Linked DNA regions of Rhinolophus ferrumequinum. The protein of the gene in region 2 purifies or fractionates together with the protein of the main gene of each other region. This does not show direct contact. Links are inferred from orthologs where the notes say so. Each region holds a gene or a part of one and is shown on either strand. Other genes may lie near its edges.

What was found.
Region 1: the proteins of ARMC8 (region 2) and TCEAL9 purify together in Homo sapiens (affinity purification with mass spectrometry; 3 studies listed by BioGRID and IntAct, with this or other methods). This does not show direct contact. The link is inferred for Rhinolophus ferrumequinum from reciprocal best matches to the Homo sapiens genes ARMC8 and TCEAL9.

What each region holds. Positions count from the first base shown.
Region 1 is NC_046284.1:51,647,114-51,657,756, forward strand, and holds TCEAL9 (transcription elongation factor A protein-like 9), read right to left. Parts: upstream 4,290-10,643; 5' UTR 4,148-4,289; intron 3,665-4,147; 5' UTR 3,591-3,664; intron 3,189-3,590; exon of another isoform or gene 3,186-3,188; 5' UTR 3,124-3,185; coding exon 2,812-3,123; 3' UTR 2,373-2,811; downstream 1-2,372. UniProt on the Homo sapiens protein: May be involved in transcriptional regulation.
Region 2 is NC_046300.1:37,364,651-37,375,172, reverse strand, and holds the start of ARMC8 (armadillo repeat-containing protein 8), read right to left. Parts: upstream 4,313-10,522; 5' UTR 3,737-4,312; coding exon 3,692-3,736; intron 1-3,691. UniProt on the Homo sapiens protein: Component of the CTLH E3 ubiquitin-protein ligase complex that selectively accepts ubiquitin from UBE2H and mediates ubiquitination and subsequent proteasomal degradation of the transcription factor HBP1.

The DNA of each region.
Region 1 (10,643 bases), on a different chromosome or scaffold from region 2:
TCTAGTAGGATGATTTTTGACATATCTGTATACCACCTATGCTATTTTGTTAATATTGTTATGCCTGTTTTTTTTTTTAACATTTTTTAGTTAGTTTTAGGTGCACAAAACAATGTAATAGTTAGACATTTATCATTTACATCCCTCACAGTGACAATCCCCCTCTCCCATCTACTACCCCTCTGACATTGCACACAGCCATTACATTTCCACTGTCTCTATTCCTAATAATGCTGTACTCCACTTCTTGTAAATATATATATACATATATATATATACATATATATATGTATATATATATATGTATATATGTATATATATATATATAAAATTGTAGTTGACATTCATTATTGTTCAGCTTCAGCTTCAGGTGTACAGTGCAGTGATCAGGCATCTACATCATCCCTGAGGTGGTCTCCCTAATGAGACCAGTGTCCATCAGATACCCTACAAAATCTTTACAACATTATTGATTACATTCCCCAAACTGACTTTTGTAACCCCGTGGCCATCTTGTGGTTACTGACTGTGGTCACCTCCCCCCTTATCCCCACCACCCCCATCTAGCAACCCTCAATTCTCATGTTTGTTTTCAAATTGACTCATTTAATTTGAATACTCTTTTCAAAAGGGAACTTTGTAACATCATCTTAAATCTAAACTATCATCATTTACCTTAAACAGAGTATTCATTAATACACATTCAAATATACATGGATATTACAATTTAAAATGTTTGTGTACTGTCTAAAATCATCTCCACCTACCACCAGGCCCTTCTACTGTAACCCCAAGTTAACTGATTATATCCAGAGTAGTCATGGCTGGAACAAAGACTATCACAACCAATGTTTTTTGGTAGTGAATTTTGACGTCTTACCTCCTTCCCTACAAAAATTTCCCATGAAGCCCGCTTGTGAAGGAAAAAGGAGGGAAAGGAAGTCCAGTGCTCTGACATGTAATGGTGACAGTTGTTGTCCTCCAGATAAGAATGTCCAGCACAGCAATTCTACCAGTCTAGGAGGGTCTGGTGCCTGCTGCAGGCTGGAGCAGAGAAATCGAAGTCAGACCATCCTGGAGAGGATTGTGTTTGGGGTGAGCCCTTCCACATCCAGCCTGAGTGCCATCACTCAGAGTGCCAGAGGGATGGATTCGTCCTGTCTGTAAAACTGCCGGTGAGTTCCTGGACCCTCATCACACTCCTGCCGGAATCCAGCCCCACCACCATCCATCAGGGTGTTGCATACTTGAACAACAGTCTGGAGACATGAATTGCCCCAAAAAGAGCAGCACAAAGGAATAATAAAATAACACAACTGGCACAACTGTGAGCCATCTATACATATATAGATTTTGATGTAGACACACTGTCTTACATAGCACTTTCATGTTTCCAGGTAAAGATGGGAATATCCCCAAATCTGACTTGAACCTCCCTTTACAATTTACACAGGTTGAGGAATACCTGTTGAACTAGTGAGGAGGGCCTGGCACCAGTCTTCTGGAAGAGATCACTTACACTAAGAAAGTAAGAGTCAGGAAGATAAAACCACTCTTTAGACTCAGAGAAGCAACTCACTAAAGCATAATACTGTTAGTCAGACTTGTCTTCTGGTCCAACCCCCCCCAAATAGACCCGTAGTCTTATGGGGAAGAGGAGACTTATGACTAAAATCCCCAAGTTGCCAAGATATCTGTAAGATATCGTGGCCCAAGTGACCCTGCATAAATGTCTGTCTAAATTGAAAATATGGCCATTCTCCCCACTTCTGTAGAGGTCAATCTGGGAATTCAGCCCATGGGGGTTTCTGAAGAAATGTTGGGCTTCGCTATTTGAGAATTCCAAAACATCAGCAGCGATAGGGGCCTGAAAGGTATAGGATGTGGAAGAAGGGGCAGGAATGTCCAATATACATGGTGGTATCAAGGGGAGGGGGTTTGGGAGGTTGGGCAGGCACAGCAGGAGAGGAACATAAAGGTGGCACCCACCTAACAGTTGGCCTGGATTTGTTCTTAAGCACAGGTGAGAACTACTTTCTCCACCCTCCCAAATAGCTGAAACAAATCTCTTGGGGAGTTGGGATCCTGCATGGGCAGACAGGGGGAAAAAACCTGTCAGATACAGCTCACCGTCATATCCTTATTTCATCCTCAGAAGATATCTTAGAGATCATTATCATCTCTATTTTACAGATAAGTTGTAAAATTCATTCTTCTAGCTAGGTGGTCTAGTGGTAATTTGGAGTTTACATTTGCTTCTAAAATTCTGTCAAGAAATATCAAATGCCGCATTGCCTTTAGAAATAAACTGGTAAATGCCGTTGGTTACTTTTTTTTGTTATAAAACTTTTATTATTTTAACATAATGTGTGTACATTCTAAGAATAAGGAAAAATACAAATAAGCAGAATTTTAAAAATCACTCATAATCCTACCACTGACTGTACTTTTTTTGTCTTTCATCCTTCACACGTTTTTCTGTGCATATATGCAATATACAAATGTACTCTTCCCTTTTAAAAATATGATATTCACATATTACTTAGTAACGTTTTTTTCATTTTATATCCTGTCAGGAACTTCTTTTTGTACAAATGAGTAAAGCTCTCCTATTAAAAGGCAGAGACTTGGGGATTGGTTCAAAATATGATAAACTGTGAGAATGCAATATAAGAAGAGATGCATCTAAAACCACTAATAGCAAGCAACAAGTTAAAGTAGAAAAATGGACAAATGTTTATCAGGAAAATGCAAATCAAAAGAAAGCTATATGGCAATGTTAGTATCAGAAAGAATAAAAATCAAGATAAACTACATTAAGTAGGGGTAAGGATGGTTTCGATTAACCTTCCAACGCATCACTATAAGTTTGTTTCTTACTCTCCTTATCTCATCTATTTCATTCACCTCTCTAAACATATCATCCTTGCTTAAATGCCTGTTGTGTATATCTTCTTTAAATTCCTGGAGAGACTGAATCAGCCTTTCTCTAAAAGTTCCTTCTGTTTTTTCCTCCTCTTCTGGTTCTTCCTCCTCCTCTGGCTTTTCCTCAGGCTTTGGCTCTTCCTCAAGCTTTGGTTCGCTCTCATTTTCTGGTTTTCCTTCACTTTGACAGGGTTTCATCTTGTGGCTCTCTTCCCTCCTTTCCTCCTTTTTCTCTGCTTATTCCTCTTTGAATACAATTACTTCTAGAAAGCAAGGAGATGGTAAGTCAGTCAAAGGCTTGGTGATTGGACTGGTGCTCTGGACATAAGTCTCAGCATCTGCTTTTCTTTTATTCAGAACTATCATCAAATATCTTCCACCCAGGAGATTCAATCAACAATTTCCCTGAGGCCCCTCTTACCTCCACTTTACACCTCCTCACTGCTCTCTGCTCCCTCCCTCCAGCCATTTCCAAGGCCCTCCTCAACCATCCCCCACCCCGCTGCCCCCGCATGGACTTAACAGAAGACCCTCCCAGAACAGAGTAGGCTGGGAGACTCCGGGTTGGGGTAGGGAGAGACCCTGGGGCCCATACTTCTGTCCCGCCCTCGCCCACCTCCCCCCCCACTCCCCCAGGCGTCTTTATAATATATCCTCTCACCTACCAGTATTGATCCGGTCAGTTTCTTTCTCGTCTTTTCTAGCTTTGCTCAGTGCTATGAACAACAGACCTGCAGATCTGCGAACAAACGAGAAAAAGGAGGGGGAGGGAGGAAGGGAGGAGAGAGTGGAGGGGGGGTGGGGCGAGCGCTTGGTGACCAGCACCACGCACCTTTTTTCTCTTTAAGGTTCTCGGTTATGGAAACTTTCTCACCTTCTGTTTCCTCCAGTTCTCCCCCTCTCAACAGTGCAAGTTAGCTCGAATTTCCCATCAGACAAGGAATTGGAAGAGCATATTATTTCCAAACTATGTTTAAGACTGAGGCGGGGATTGGGGGGAGGGTAGGTGTTGGGAAAGCGGTCTGAGATGGCAGAGGAGGATTTTAAAACTATCACAGGTCTCTCTGTCCTTCTCCCGAGATCCCTAGGCCCTTTCCCAAAGGTCATTATTTCCTGCAGACCCGGAGGTGGAGAGGTGGACATGACCAGGACTCCTTCAAATCTCTGCCCTAGGCCACCTCTACCCTAGAAATCCCCAAGCAGCACGTATTTGAACACCAACCTGCAAAATTCCGGCAGATTGGCTTTCTCCTTTCCCTGGCCTCAGGCCCCGCAGTCGCGCTACAGAATGAAGCTGGTACCCAGGCGAGAACAAGGACCAAACTAGCAGGACTTCTGCACACGTCGACTCCTGGTCACGTGAGACCTACGTCACCAGTGAGCTCGGGTCCCCAGTTTCCACTCCCACCAAAAACGCGGCAGAAGTAATCCCGCCCTCTGCCCCACCCCTATACGTTTGACCCTGTCAGTCTTTTTTTGTTGTCCCGTATTCCAGAGGGGAAATTTTTATTTGCCCATCTCTGATTACTAGGGAGGTACTACATCTTTTGCTGGAGCTACTAAACTTTTCTACTTTTTTACAGAATTATCTCTTCCTGCCTTCAGCTCCCAGCATTAAGAACTGCTACAGCCATCGCCCCTCCCCCAACCTCCATTTCATCTACAATCTGGTCTTTGGCTGTTGTGGAGCAGAGCTGGTTTGGCAGCAGGTTGTTTAAAAAACAAAGTCTGGGACAAGAATGAGATTTTTGAATGATATTTTTACTTTATTCCTAATACTTTTATATTCTTTTTTTTAAGTAGCATTTTTTTTTAATAGTCAGAATATACAGCCCTGAGAATAGTGCTTGGCATATGGTGCTTTAAAAAGTACAAGCTATTATAATTATATTAGGATTTCACTTCGGGAAAATTATTCAAAATGGAAAAAAACAGTAATGTTTGACTCCTGGTGATGGTATTTACCAAGAAGCTGTGCTGCCTGCAGAACCATCGATTGTTTCCTCATCTAGAAGAAAGGAATAATAACATACACCTCATAATTTGTGGGAATTCTAAATGATAACACTTGGTGCAAAGCACTTCAGTCATATAAAGTCTTCAACGGATATTGGTTACCTTTCAACCTCACCTCATTTTTTGGTAAAAATCACAAATTTGCCAATAAAAATTGCATAGCTCTCAGAGGTAACATTTGAAAAATAACAGGAGATATAAACATGTATTTTTGTCTTGTGTAAGTTTCGATGCCCATTTGTGAGGCAGAATAAAAACCTCAATAGATTATGTGTAAAGAAAAAAAAAACCTGACTGCATCTCATTTTGTTTCACTTGCTCTTCTGTCACGTTATTCTATCTTCTGGGAAACATGTGTATTTGAACATCAGAAAACCCAAGATATAATGGTTTGGTTCTGCTGGACTGAACCCTGATGTGAGAGACAGGAGATGTTAGTCCCAGTGCCAGACCTAGAACTTGTTATCTGTCCAAAGTCCCTGTGCCTGACACTTTGAAAGGCCAAAACTCAAAATGTCAGAGTTCGGAGTAAGGAAAGGTTTATTGATGGAGTAGACACCAACTGAGAAGATGAGAGACCTAATCCTCAAATCCATCTTAAATTAGAGTCAGGCTTCTTTCATGTCGAAGGAAGGGGAAATGGGAGGGGCAAGAGGTGAATGATGACTGCAGACATCGAGGCCCCAGCAGGGATCTGGGGAAGATTGTGCTTAGTCTGTTGACCCTAGATTATGTGAGTCCCCTCACGAGGTTCCTGCAAATCTTCGATAAACAATACATACTTCCCTTATCTCCTCAGGAGAGTCACCCTCTGGCAAGGGACTGTATTTTTAAACCTCAAACTACAAGCAGAATTCCTCCAATGATTAGCATGTCTCTTTGCAAGAAGCTATCAACCTGAAGGTAATGGGAACAAAGCAGGCTTGAGCAAGATGCAGCCAGAGAGGCTGATCATTTCACTTTGTTGCAAATTGAGTGTGTGACCCTTAGTAAGTTACTCTCTCTGTATTGGCCTTACCTCTAAAACAGAAAAGCACAAGTAACCTCCCAACTTTAGAAAGCAGCATGTGATTAGCAAAACAGTTGAATATATTGTCCTTAATGTAAGGGTGAAATCTGGTAAATCAATAACGCTGTTAGACTTAGCTAGTTTGCAGTTTGACTCACTGCATAGCTCGCTATCTAGCTACCTGTAGTTAAATTTAGCTTGCAGTTAGATCCATCCTGATATTCAGCTGTTTCTTCTTTGTTTCTTCCCTCACTGATTAACTTGAGAAGTGTTTTGTTCCCTTTCTCAAGGCTACCCATACCTCGTGAATCCATTTAATTAACAGAATCATAACCCAAAAGAGCAATTTCTTAATCCTCAGGCGACCGGACACCGGGATCGAATTTACAACTCCCTTGCAGTTTTTACTGGTGACGCATAAAGTTCCAGGCTGCGATGCGATGGCTGAATCCAAGTCCGGAGTCTGGAGATAACATTATCTTAAAACAGACCAGACCCCAAGAAGCAATGTTAGCCCTCAGACCTGCCTGACTGACTCCCCTTTCCTATATAAGAAAAATGTAACGTGAAGTTAGGTGCAGCTGTCCACTCTAAGACTCTGCCCCGGCGACGACCCTCACCCCCACCCCAACCCCCTCTACCCCCGCCAGTATTTCTCTCCTTATTACCCGTGGCAGCCATCATCTTTAGACACTGCCATGGGCATTCTCTCTGCCTGAACTTTAATAACTTTCTTTGCTCTTTAATAACTTTTTTTTGGGTCTGTGAATCCTTTCACCGTTTGTGAATGACCAGGGGTTAATTCTATGCCAGGACACTTAGGAAGATTGAAACATCCTGAATGGTAGTTGTTTTTCTCCAGCTTGATGGAAATGGTTCCAGAAATCTTTAGAATGTCCTGAAAAGAGAAAGGTGCTTTGCTGCCATTATCTCATTTTATACTCCTAACAACAATTGTAAGGAAGATATTTTCATTTCCATTTTGTATATGGAGAAATTAAATGGAGGGTTTAAGCAATATGCCCCAAGACATTATCTCCTTAGATCTGAGCAGAAAAGGGCTCTTCCTGAGGCCACACTTTTAGAGGGTCAGTGTCTGGCCCTCCTCTCGAGGCCCTCTTCCCCAAGTAGTGAAGAGTCAATGGGATAAGAAAATGTTCCTACTTGGAGCCTTTACCTTTTTCTTTCTAGACCACATTCTAGATGTGTAGGACCATAGAATATCCTGCACAAAGGATCTGGAGCCCAAATCCAAGGTCTGCTTGTGCCTCTTTAGGTCTATCCTCCTGAGAGTGGGCCATATCCTCTGTGGGTTCACCCTAGGGGTGGAATAGATAATATAACTGCAAACCCTCACATGAAGCCATTTGGAGAAAGAGCTAAAGCAAAGGGTAGACTGTTAGGCCAACTGGAGCTCAGAGAAGGTCAATAGCCAGTTAGCCGATTAGTTAGAGACAGCCTCAAAGAGGAAAACGACCTTGACCTGGGCCTCAGAGGGTGGGCAAGAGACAGACGGAGGGTGGGAAGGACAGAGGAGACCAGTCTGACTGAACCTAGGCCCTGTGTCCTTACCATTACCCTGCCTTGTCTCATGCTGCCTTGCTGGGTAGAGGTCTACTTGCTCCTCCTTAGGGGTGCTTAAGTCTATTGACAAAGGCTGTCGTCTGAAAGCAGGTTCACTGCAAACATTTTTGGACATGTTCTGCACTACCCCCAAGGGCTTTCTCACTTATTTCTAGGTCATGGAATCTGAATCAGTCAACCTTTCTAGATAGTACATAGGCAATTGCTATGTACTGAAAATATGCATTCTTTCCGAATCTGTAAATCCATTCTTAGGTATACATCCTAAGAAAATACTTAGTGGCAGTCACAGTGATTTACTACAATAAAGTCTGTAGACCTGAATTCGTAGTATCAATCCTTTGACTTGGACCTGAATATACAAAGAGAAGCCACAAATGAAAAGCAACGATGAAGGAGCAGAAGGAAAGAGAATTGTTCTAGGAAATAGCAGATATGCACCCAACCATGCACATGGTTGTATATGCACATTCACACGTGTATGTACACATTCTCATAAACTGAGGATTCTCCCAGATGATTATGCTACAGGATAAAAAAGGCAAACTTATAATTCTGTTGAAACAATTCAAACTGCACCACTGGTATGTACCGTTTACAAATGGAAAATTACTATTAAGATATTCAGCACAATTCCTTATAGTAGAAACAATTAAGAAGAAACTTTAATGTCTTACAATAGGGAACAGGTTAAATTATGTAACAACCATATCATAGATGTCTAAGAAAACATTAAAATGAGATCTATTGGGAACAAAAGTGAGAGTTAATTTTTCACCTGTGCAATTAGAAAAGATGAAAAATACTGCTTATACTCACAGTTGGTGAAGATATGGAAAAACATTTACATGCGCTTTGAGAATATAAAATGGTATATGGATGTTCACTACTTATTGTGCTGATTATTTTGCAATACACACATATAAAATCATTACTTTGTACACCTGAAACTAATATAATGTTATATGTCAATCATGCCTCAATAAAAATAATAAATAAATGAAAATATAAGCAAAACACAAAAACAAAGAATAAAATAGTACATTTTTGGAGGTCATTTTGGTAATCTCAAACTTTAAAATATATGTGCTTTTGGACACATCAATTCCTCTTCTAACGGTTTATCATGCAGAAATACTCCCATCTCAAATATGGTCATTGCATTAGTTGTAGTAATAGATTTTCTTTTTAAAAGTAAAAACCCTAAATATTCCTAAAAGGGGATTGGTTTAAGAAAAGTTTGATTATTCATACAGTGCAATACTACACAGTGATGAAAAAATAATGATGTGGAGTTATATTTACTCACATGAAAAAATGCCCATCATATGCGTATATTGTTAAGAAAAAGGCAAATTGAAGGTTAATACATTTTGTCACAGCATACATATATCTATTTTTGTGTATTTAAAATATGAGAATATAATGAAATTCCACCATAATGGGGTAAGTGAAGTCTACACAATTTATTCCTGTAAAATTTTGGGTTATATGAATGGAAAGACTGATGTGAGCATATTTGGTAAGCTCAATACACAATCCAAATCCATCAGGGACTCAGCTGTGTTCTGATGCCTCCTCATAACTGTTTATTCAGCACTTCAGCTTAATCATCACCCTTCTGTTTTCCCCTGTCTCCAGGCCCCATCACAAATTATGTTATATCCAGTGCCAAGTTACTGCGGGGTATTACTGTATTTCTACATCATATTAGAAATTTGAATGAATACATACTTAACTATTCCCATAGGATATATTTGAAATGAGTATTCAATATAAAGTGAACTTTTCTAAATGTTGCATTTATATATTTAAATTTTATCTTTAATGGGCATATATTAATTCATAATATTTAGAAAAATGATTGAGATAAAATTTTGAAAACATGCAGAAGAAATAAAATATCTGGCAAATATAAGGCAGTCATATCTTTATTGAAATGAAAGTATTTGTAATATATTGGCACATGAAAAGAGGTTACAAACAGTAACCTGCCGAGGATCCAATTTGTAAAAATAATATATATGTAGGTATTTATATGTATACATGCATAGAAAATATTATGTAATAATACGTACCAAAACATTAGAAGTGGGCATTATTGGATGGTTGGTGGCTTATAGGTGATTTATATATTCTTTTATATGCTTTTTAGTAGAATCTTCTACATGTTTTCAGTGGATATGTGTAGCTTCTACAATAAAGAATAGTCTGCAAATAGTATATGATCTTATTTTATGACACATATTTTGCATATATACTTCTCTGTAGCTGAGCAGGATCTTATTTAAGGCCTCCACTACCTCTTTGAGGTGAAGGGGTCCTTGCAATGGTTGAATACTTCACATTTGCTTCTCTTGGCCCATTTGTGACTAGTATGCATTAAAATGAAGCTCTCCTCTTTATGCTCTGTCTCCCTCCAATCACCGTTTGAGATAGTCAAGCTGTAGGACTAATGATACACAGGAAAGAAGGTTTCTTTTTCCTAAATTTTATCCAGTGAGAAATCTTTTCTTCTAGGATGCTTTTTTGCTGGGAAAAGTAACATTGTTGACAATAATGTAATATTTAAAGCAGATCATATAATAGTCTTACTTATCAATTCAATTCTTTTATAAATATAAATGAATAGAAAAAGAACGGATTGTATTTCTGGCTCTGCTTGACAAGTGGCGTTTATTTATAGGTCCTTGACCTTTTTTCCAGTGAAAATGTTTTACTTTTGCAAATAAAGACAATAAATATTATTATTTAAAAGCAGGTTATAAAACAATGTGTATAAGATTATTCTAGTTATATTGAAAAATACATACAGAAGGGATGAAAACCCTCAAGAATTTACACTCAATTTAATTTATTTGATGACTCAAATATAAATTTCATCCACTTATTCATTCAACAAATATTAACTAGACACTTGCAAGGTATTGCCAACCCAAATCCATGCCTTTTCCAGACCTTTCTTCTCAATTATCATTCCTGATTGGACATCTTAGTGTAATGCAATTGAATCTTAAGCCGAGGCTGGATTCTAAAGTCAGCATATAAAGTGAAATCGCACCTAATCAAATTTACCTTTGAAATATTTAGAACCCTACTTCACAGCATA
Region 2 (10,522 bases):
TATATAAAATGTAACCAGTGGAGGACACTGGGTGAAGTATACACAGGAATCTCTCTGCAACTTCCTGTGACTCTGTAATTATTTCAAAAAGATTGTTTTTTAAAATGCAATTGATGTAAAAAATCATCCAACAGTTTGGGAAACATGAGAGAATTTATAAATTTGTTGAAAGGGGTGATGTAACGCTAAGTGCACACCAAAGGAGGATAATGGGTGATCATGGTGCAGCCTGGAAAGAGCTGGAGTTTGTCCAACTCCCCAAAATATAGTCCAATCAAACATTTATTGAGTACATAGTACATGAGGACAGTGCTATAAATAGTAGCAGGATTAAGAAAAATTAAATTAATTTACTCTCTAAGCAGATAAAATAGAGTAACTATTAAAGGCCTAAGAGTCTCTGAAAAAGCAGTTCCCTTTGCTTTTAGAAAAATAAAATGCTCTTCTATTTTTCTAGTTAATTCTTACTCATCCTTAACTCTCAGCTCATTGTCACATCTTCGGGGAAACCCTCCCTAACCTCACTGCCCTCCACCGTAGATCATATTCCCCTATTACCTGCTTATAACAGCACCCTATATTTTTCATTCATAACACTAACTGCCATTCATAAACAAAGAACTGTGTGACCATTTGAAATCTACTTCTCCTATTAGGCTAAAATCTCCAAAAGGGCAGACACAGGTCTGTGTAGCTCGCCACTGTATTCCCAAACCCAATGCCATGTAAATGACAGAAGCTCAAAGCATATCACGTGAATAAATCTATACAGAGCTATAATTCATGTGTACAAACAAGCAGGCTGACAATAAGAGTTACTGGGGTTTGGGTGAACCCTAGATCACTTCAACTTGAGAAAGCCAGTTTACAAGGGATGGAAGGTCCACATAGAGGATAAAGAATCTTACATCCGAAGCTGAGAATGAAATGTCAGCCCTTCAGCAATAAAAACCCATTAAAAAACTGAAAAAGGGCATGGCATATCCAATGTATTGTACAGAAAAATTAATGTAGAGAATGAACTTGAACTTGAACTGGGAGGGTAAGACACTCGAGGCAGTAAAAAATACTTGCAAGGACACTGTGGTAATGCAGGCCCAAAATGATAATGTTCTGAATGAGAGGGTGACCATGGGAACAGACAGATGTGAGAGACACCAAGAGTAACGAGCTAACAGAATGTAAGGACTGATTAGATACAGGAGCATGAAAAATGGAAAGAGCCAGAGATAATTCAAGGGGTTTACAGTAAGTTATCAGTTAAAGATACCATGTTTCCCCGAAAATAAGACCTAGCCAGATAATCAGCTCTAATGCGTCTTCTGGAGCAAAAATTAATATAAGACCCAGACTTATATTATAGCTGGTCTTATAATAAAATAAAACCAGGTCTTATATTAATTTTTGCTCCAAAAGACGCATTAGAGCTGATTATCTGGCTAGGTCTTATTTTCGGGGAAACATGGTAGTACCATTAACAGAAATGGGAAGTCATGACTAAGTCTTCTTAGGAGATGCAATGTGTTTTGTTGAAAGTGATGGATAACATCCAAACAACTGAAGACGTGACATTAGATGGACAAAAGTCAAGGCTGGCAATGTACATGTGTGAGTTGATCACAGTTATGGTCACAAGAGTGAATAAGACCACTAGAAGGAAGAACCTATAACAGGCCTTGAATAAAAACCCTTTAGAAACCATTTGATTTGCCCCTCACACGAATTCCGTTGAGCAGCGAGTCATTCAGACTGTGAGCTCCCTGAGAGGCATATCTGATCTCATCCTTGCATTCCCTAAAGTATATGTTACAGGGTGTTGTACATAACTGGTGCACAATAAGTACCCTATTAAAGAAATCAATTATTTTAAAGATAATTTGATTACTATTTCCTGTTCCACTTGCACGTTGAGTTTCAAAAAGTGACGCCCTGGGCAGTACTTTGAAATGAACAGGATTCACTTTAAATTAGTATAATCAGTGAGTTTTAAGTCACTTATTCAAATCTCTGATTTCCTAAGGCTCTAGGACTGAAGAATGGACAGACCAGACTTTTGGACTGTAAAAACTTAAAAAAAAATAAGAATAATAAAGCCCCCAATGAGACTAGGGCTAAAGTAAATCCCCACTAGAAGTAGAGAATACTCTTCAAGAAATTTTTTAATAAACTTAAACAGGAAATATTATTTACTGAAGGCATGAAACAAATCAAAATTTTCAATTGTATGCACTATACAAGTTAACAAAAATTAAAAAATTAAAGAAGCTTCAGGTGAAATAAAAGACAGAGGAAGTAAAAGGGAACTGAGAACAGTCAAGACACGTACTTTCTTAAAAAATGAGGGGAAAGTCGTTGGCCTGCTCTCCCACAAAACATTCCTGGCTATTATAGTCAGAGGTGGAGTAATCGGCTAATCTGATTCAATACTTAGGTGAACAGTATTCCCCTAGTTGCAGTTTAAAAGTAAGAAAAAGGACTGCTAAAGTGGATTAGGAGACAAATTTATTGACAGCTCCCCTCCCCAATTAAATTATCAAGGTTGCAGTATACCAAAATGCTCTAACCCTGAATGACAAGCAAATATCCTAGGTGCTTCAAGATATCTGAGTGTGTTTGTGGGAGAAGTTAGGGAAGAGAAAAGAAACCAGTTGGAGTCACAGACCCTAAGAATCTGACTAGTCGTCTGTAACCCAACTACCCCCTCAATATCAGACTGACTCTTCCAGAAGTCTAAAAGATGGTCAACCAGTGTTTGCCTGCTTGTTTCCAGCAATAGCAAATGGACCGTTGGTAAACGGATCACTCAGAGTTGGATGGATCTAATTTGTTCCAAAACCCTTCCAAGTTATCGCCCAGTAACTTTCACCTCTGGTACTGGTTCTCTCTAGAGTAACATAATGAAAGTCCTGTTTTGTTTTTATTTTTTATGCTAGGGAAAAAACACACACAAAAACTAGGTATTACTTCCTGGCATGTCAATACGTTCTCTTCTTTCAATAATAGGAAAATTTGATCTGTTGTTTCAACGTCTGACTCCCCATGAAGAAAAAAAAAAAGAAATGCTAGGCGAAGGTTCCTTTAGATTCAGAGCTGCGACCTCCAAAGTAAAGAAAAGGGACTTAAATGACTACATACACTGGGAGACGTTGCAACTGATATGAAATCCCCGTTGCCAAGAAGCTAGCTGCTCTAGCCCGTGCCCGGGTGCTGAGACGCGACAGAAGCCACACAGACCTGGCCTGGCATCTCGGAGGCTGTGGAGCCTGCACCTCTTCTTGCCAAAGCCTCGGGGGGCAGAGTGGGCGCTAGTTCTCAGGCCAGCGGCAAGCCCGGCGCCTTACAGGACAGAGCCCTGCGCCCCAGAGAAGCGGCACCACTAAGAGAAAGGCTCAGTGAAGCGCCTGGCAAAGCCAGAGCCGCGTCGCCAAGCCGGCTGCCCGTACGCCCAAGCACCCCACCCGCTGGACGCCGTCCTGAGAACCGGCACGGGTAGGAGCTCCGGGAGTTGGAGACGTCTCGGGCTCGGCCGGGGTTCCGTCTATCACTCCCGCCCACCCTCTCTCACACCCCGGCCCAAAGCTGAGCCGGAGGCGACCCTAAGGGGTGGTGCCCAGGAGACACGCTGCGTTTTGGGTGAATGCTGCGAGCCGGGCCCGAGCTCCCGGGTGGGCGGCTGCGGCGGGTCACTCACCGAGAGGACGCTCATGCGGATTGGGGTCTCCAACAGGCACGCCATCTTGAGCCTTCCCACCCGGCTACAGCCGGCGCCGGCGCGGGGGCCGGCACTTTCGACAGCGAACTCTTGGGCCAATGACAGACACCTCTGCAGAAAGTCGGGCAGGTAGATGAGAACGGAGCACGGTCTACACACCGCTGAAGTACGGCCAGGGCCCGCAGAAGGGAAAGCAAATGGAAACCGCGCCAGAAGCCTCCTTACGAATCGTCCTCTCAGAAACAGCAGCTACTCTCAGCCTGGGTTAGAGGTGGGAGCGGGCAGCAGTTTCCGCATGCGCAAGGAAGATCTGCCGGCCCCACCTGCCGCTCGCGGTGGGCGGAGCCTCAGGGGCGGGGCCTCGCTCTGGCGCTACGAGCCTCGCAGACTGGTTCGTAGCAGTTACGAGTTCGCGTATTCATATTACGCAAAACTGGTCTGTGGTGCCACATACATAATTTGAAATTCACTTTTACATTCATTATCGCTTTCTTTGCACCAAACTCCTAGTGTCATATGTCTACTTTACAGATGGAGAAACCGTGATCTCAGTACTAGGTCGTCTGCCACCAATGAGAGTGTTTCACGATCCAACACTGACGTTTGACCTGCTTTAGCATTGTCTGCCCTATCTGTTTATTCTGGTGGTGTGTTAAGAATAGATACTCTAGAGGCAGAACGCCGGGTTTAATCCTTTCTACTTCATTTATTAGCTGCATTACCTCCAGCAAGTTACTTAACCTCCTTTAAGTCAGTTTTCTGTTTTGAGGATGGAGAATATAAAGCTCTTAAAAGTAGAAAGCGTTATTATGTCAGCGTTTCTCTAGCCTCTGAGTCAAGCAGAAAAAAAAAATAGGGCAAATGTTGGAGTAATTCACACCAAAACGCTCCGATAACTGAAGCCAAATAAAAACATGCTTCTAATATAGTATTGTTGATTGATTAATTCAGCTCTCCACTCCGTGTGTGTGTGTGTGTGTGTGTGTGTGTGTGTGTATACAAAACTGCTCTGGACTTGGCTGGACAGGTTTCACCTCCGTGCTGTTTGCAACCAGTAAGGTTTTCACAGGATGGTTGCAATGAGCCTGTCACATTATTTGTCTTCCTTCCATTTCTATAGCCACTCCGTAATTCAGGCAGTTATTATCTCTCCCCTAGACTAGAGCAATAGCCTTCCAACTGATCCTGTAGACTCTAGCCTCTCCTTCACTTTACTCCTTACTACTTTCCTATCTTCCCCTGTACATGGTTTCTAAATTTATCATAACATTAATTATCCTTGCTTATGGGTTTGTGTGTCCCTAACAAACTGTTGAGTTTCTAGAAGGCAGGAATTTCTTTTTAGATTTTCCTTCTTCTACAGCACTGTTTCCCAAACTTCATTAATCTGCATACCATCCACACAATCTTTGCCAATCTGCATCCAGGTATTATTACTCAGTGTTTTTCTTTAAAGCCAATTTCAACTCATTAAATAAGCCTCATCCTAAACCGTAGTACTCTGTAAAGTCAAGTTTATTGTGTTGCTTATTTTTATTCTAGTACACATTAACATAATAACCACAAAAAAGTTAAAATGTCCATCCATGTATTACCTAAAATCATGTCATGTACTGCATACCACAACAGAGCAGAGCATAACACACAGAGGTATCAATTGAGTATTCAGTTGACATTTGTATGATATGGAGTTCTTCTAGCTGTATTTGATCCGCTTCATCCATTAGCTCAAGCAATGTATACCTCCGAGGTATAGGTTAGGTGACTCCTCCCCCATGTCTTCATGCATCTCTCTATTCTTGCCACTTGAACATAGCATCTCCAACGATATATTGTAACTTTTTTTGTAACCATTTATTTGTTTGTTTCCCAATTATACACTTTGGGGCAGGAACTAGGAATTTTACCTTCTAGATCTTTTATCTCACTACCTAGCATAGAACAGTCACTTAGTAAATGTTTGTTGAATGAAGTTTGGCTTAGTTTGGGCACCCCCAAAGGCAGATCCTGGGACAATGATTTTGGTGCTGATAGTTTGAGAAGTTTCTGTTTCCAGGGAACAGAACTGATGGGTAAAGAAGAATGAGAAAAGAAAGAAAAAAAGTCAATATCAAGGTTCATTGTTGAAGTCACTGCTTATTCCTTGAGGACCTCTGAGAAAACATACAGAATGCTCCCCTGAATATCCCTCTTGAGGTTGGAGCATTTATTCGCTACTCTTGTCTTGTACTGGTTGAGAGTTTTACCAGGGCTGTTAACTCCCTTCCCTCCTGAATTGTACTTGTGCACAGAATAGAGAGGACTTCCTTAACCTGATGTAGAAAAGCAGAATCTGTATGCTTGCTTTTGGGGTGGGATACAGGCAGCATGAATCTGAGCTTACAAAAGAACCATCATTACAGCTGTGGGTGAAATCAGAGTGAGGAAGGGCTAGGGAATGTGACTCAAGGCATCCAACATCTCTGCTACCCAGGCTTTCCTGTTTTATTTCCAGAAGACTGATGTGACTATTTTACAAGAAGGAAGCATTGATTAGCAAGTTCCTAACCTTGAGAATCAGGAATCAAAATTTGCTGCTACATAACCTTAGGTACACTCTTCAAACCTAAGTAATGAATAGAAATTGAGGGGGAGTAAGAGATTTTGATTCAGCCTCCACATACCAAAAACAAGAGTTAACTTTTGCCCTGTGGGGTGGAACGGGAAATATCCACACTGATTCCCCTGCAAATAAGAATGAAATTTCTCCCCATCCTCCCTTGACTCTTATCTGAAAGCAATATTAATTTTTGAAAAAATAATGAAAACAAAGGGTGAGTTTAATTTTTTTTTAAAAAAGTAGAAATGCAAAACATTAAGTAGCCAGAAAGAAATCTGAAAAGTATTTATAAATATCTAAATGGAACTGCCAAGATAAAGAAACAGCACCATATTTTTGAAAGTAGAAACATACCTATGCAAAAGGAGCAAAACTTAAAAGTGTAGAAAGGTAGATGTAAACCAAAAACTGAATGGCCTCAAAGGAATTTAGAAGAACCTTTAAAAAGATTTGAAGACAAAGGAGCTTCTTCAAATAAATAAAAAAGAAAATGGACTAAGATATCTATAGAAGCGATATAGTTCAGTTCAACAGACATGAACTGTGGGTTTACCTGTGCACACATTGTATGAGGGATTCAAAGTGGAGTCGAGATGTGGTTTCTGCCTTCAAGCAGACAGGAATAAAAGTGAGACCCTGAGTGGTCCAATAATTAGCTTAAGGTTGCTCAGGGGGTAAGAGGCTAAAACCATTTGAATCCAGGCTTCTCTGTTTCAAAGTCCTTCCCAGAGCTCTTACAGTCCTCTGGGATCCTACAGGACTCTCCCACATGGGACAACTGAGCACTCACCTGAGTAACCAGCCAGTTAGAAAAGTCTACAAGGGCTTTGCAATGGGAAACAATGCATCCATAATTCATCAGGTGCTTGGAGGATGTAAAATATGTATATGTATAAAGCAGAAGTAGTAAGCTGTTGAAAAGCCTTTTTTATTTTTTAGAAACTACAGTAAAAAAGGAAAATGATTTTAAAAAAATAACTGAATTACTGTTAAGGTAGAATTCCAAATTCCAAAGATAGATGCGATGATGGAATTTGGAAGCCATCACTTGACAACCATATGAGTTATAGTCATATCAGGCAAGGCTCATCAACGGATGCTAAAACTAATTGGTGAAAATATGGTGAGAAACAGGATTATGTGTACAGCCTCAAAGTATCTCCTCACAAGTTACTAATGATAGTAGAGAAACTTGATAGATACCGCTTTATTCAGATGATTATAATGAATATCACGAGTAATGGGATAAATAGACACCATCATATGATGCACTGAGAAGGACACAACATCACTTCTGTGGTATTCCTGTCACAAATGCACGCGTGCAATCATGAGGAAATATCAGCAAACCCCAACGGAGGGACAGTCTACAAAATTACACATCCTTCAGCATTGCTGTGACAGACAAAAACTGAGGAATTCCTCTAGATTAAAGGAGACGAAAGTGGTATGAGTACTAAATACAACTTGTGATCTAGGACTGAATCCTGGGTAAGTGAAAACATTTTTCTTTTTGCTGCAAAGGACATCAATGGCAAAATCTGAACAAAATCTGTAGATGAGGTATCATTGTTAATGTCCTCGTTGTGATAATTATATTATTGTTAGGAAGGTAATGCCCTTGTTCTGAGGAATTACAAGGGGAAGAATTTAAGTGTAAACAATATTGAGTTGCTGTGGATTAAGCAATTATTTTTTCTTTAACAATGAAAAACGGAACACATTTTGAGAATTTAAAAAAGAGAGAGAGGACTAAGGATCCTGGAAATTTATTCATTCGAGAAAATATATATACTGGATACTTACTATGTGCCAGCCACTGTGCTCAGAAGTGGTAATACAATCATGAGCAAGATAGACACCTTCCCTGTTCTCACAGAGCTCCCAGGCAAAAGGTAAAGAGAGACAAGTGAACAAATCATTAAATGTGGTATGATAAGTTAAAGGGTATGAGACGAAGGGAAACCTCAGCAGGAGTGAAGTCACAGGAAGTCCTTCTGGTGCAGGCAGCACCCAAGCTCTGACCTGAAGTATAAACAGGAGCAGACCACGCAAACCCTGTGTGCTACTCTACATAGACTCTGGCTTGTCCATAAACATTAATCGAATTGAACAATTAAGACACCACTTCTCTATACTTAGATGTGGGAACTCTTATAGAGAAAAATCACAGGCCCAAAATGGCATCACTGGTGATAAAAGCCAATGACACCAAACCTAGAGTTAATACCCGATCTAATTGCAGTTTTATCCTCTCCCAGAAATGTAATCTTAATCAAATCATCTGGAATTTTCTGGTCAAACACCAGTAAGGTAATCTTTGGGCCCTCAAAGAAAGGCCCCATTCCCCCAAAGACAGAAGAGGCAATACGCATGATAAAAACTCTTGCTTTTTGTTGTCTTCTCCCCAAAAAAGAAGACGTCTGGTCTAAAAATAATCCTTTCTTTTCTTTTGTCTATAGCGCTCTTGCCCTACCCTTCTTCCAATAAAAACCTTCCTTCTGTACAACGACTTGGAGTAATCTTACAGGTGCTAGATGGCATGCTACTCTTCAAATTTACTCAGTTGAATTTTGTGTTTTAACAAAACACTGGCAATCCTACAAAATTAGTGCAAAGACAAGAGCTCCAATTATTTATAGGAAAAGAGACACTATAAAATCAGCAGGTCTTCACATGGCTATATAATCTGGATTGCCCAGGTAATAAAAAGACACCCCTTCCCACCCCAAAGCAATGGTGACCACGTTACGCTGATGTGTTTCAAAATGGAGAAGCAAAGATAACAAGGTAGGCAAAGTAAATCTGATCTTTTCACGATTTATAATACAGGAATGGAATCTGGAAGTCTTAAAACCTATAAAGGAGAGATATTGTGTGTGTGTGTTTTCTGATGAAATCAGAAAGTCCAGTGAAATATCTAACAAGTTTCCGATTCAGAGGCTAGAGACACCACACAGAATTCTTAGGCCTCTGTGATATTTGCCTCCATTCAGTTTAGTTTCACCACCACAGACGGGATCTCTCCTTCAATGGTTTTACTTAGTGTGCTGCCATCAGGTGGTGGTAGCTGCCATAATCACCTACGTAGTTCTATTATAAAATGCAGATAGTAAGGATGGTGTTTTTCCTGATGTTTGTAACATTTTATAACCTGACTTAAAAATTTATTGCCCAAAATTTCCATTTTTCACTCCCTTAATCATAAAGGTTTCTGCTCAATTATGTCACCTTAAAAGCATGGTCTTCCATAACCACCCTATATTCATTCATTAAGTACTTAATATACTGGGTACCTACTATGTGCCAGGCACTGTGCATTTCTTATCCCCTTATTCTGCTATATTTATTTAATTTTTTTTAATGTTTTTGTTGGGGAATGTTGGGGAACAATGTGTTTTTCCAGGGCCCATCAGCTCCAAGTCAAGTCATTGTCTTTTAATCTAGTTGTGGCTCAGCTCCAAGTCCAGTCGCCGTTTTCAATCTTTAGTTGCAGGGGGCACAGCCCACCATCCCATGTGGGAACTGAACCAGCAACCTTGTTGTTGAGAGCTGGTGCTCTAACCAATTGAGTCATCCGGCCGCCCCTCTGCTTTATTTTTAATCATCCATCTTTTAAACAAAGTTCTTCCTTTCTGTGTCCTTTATTTTTATCCAACTCTTATTTGGCTGAATTTCACTGTCAAGTCACTTTTTTCAAGAAGGGCCCATGAGTATTGTCTTCCTGGAGGTTTTTGTTTTGTGTAGTTTTGTTTTATGGTTGAAAGCATCTGTTTATTGCCTTTTACTTTAACAACACCTTGACTACTACAAGGTACAGTAAACCAGAACCCATTCTAGGTATTTTAATCAAAAAGATTACAAAATTGCTGGAAGGACTAAAGATGCAAACAAGGAGGGAATATTTTACTTGAGATCAGAAAAGCAGGAAGTTCACCACCACAGAAGGAGTTTGGAGTGTGCAGCTGCCATCACCATTGCCAGAGCCAGCAGAGCAAAGAATCCTTTCTTTTACCTATAATTTCTGACAAGAAAACCATTCTCTGAGGCTCTAAATTAAAATATAGTGGCCGGAGAGTGAGAGAAAAGAACAGTTAGCCTATTGCTAGCGATGGACTGGCTCTGACAAGTCCTGTCACCCCAGGAGCCTCCACTTCTTATTTACACACGAATTTTCCAATCTGCTGCCCACAGCTAATTCACAGGAGCAG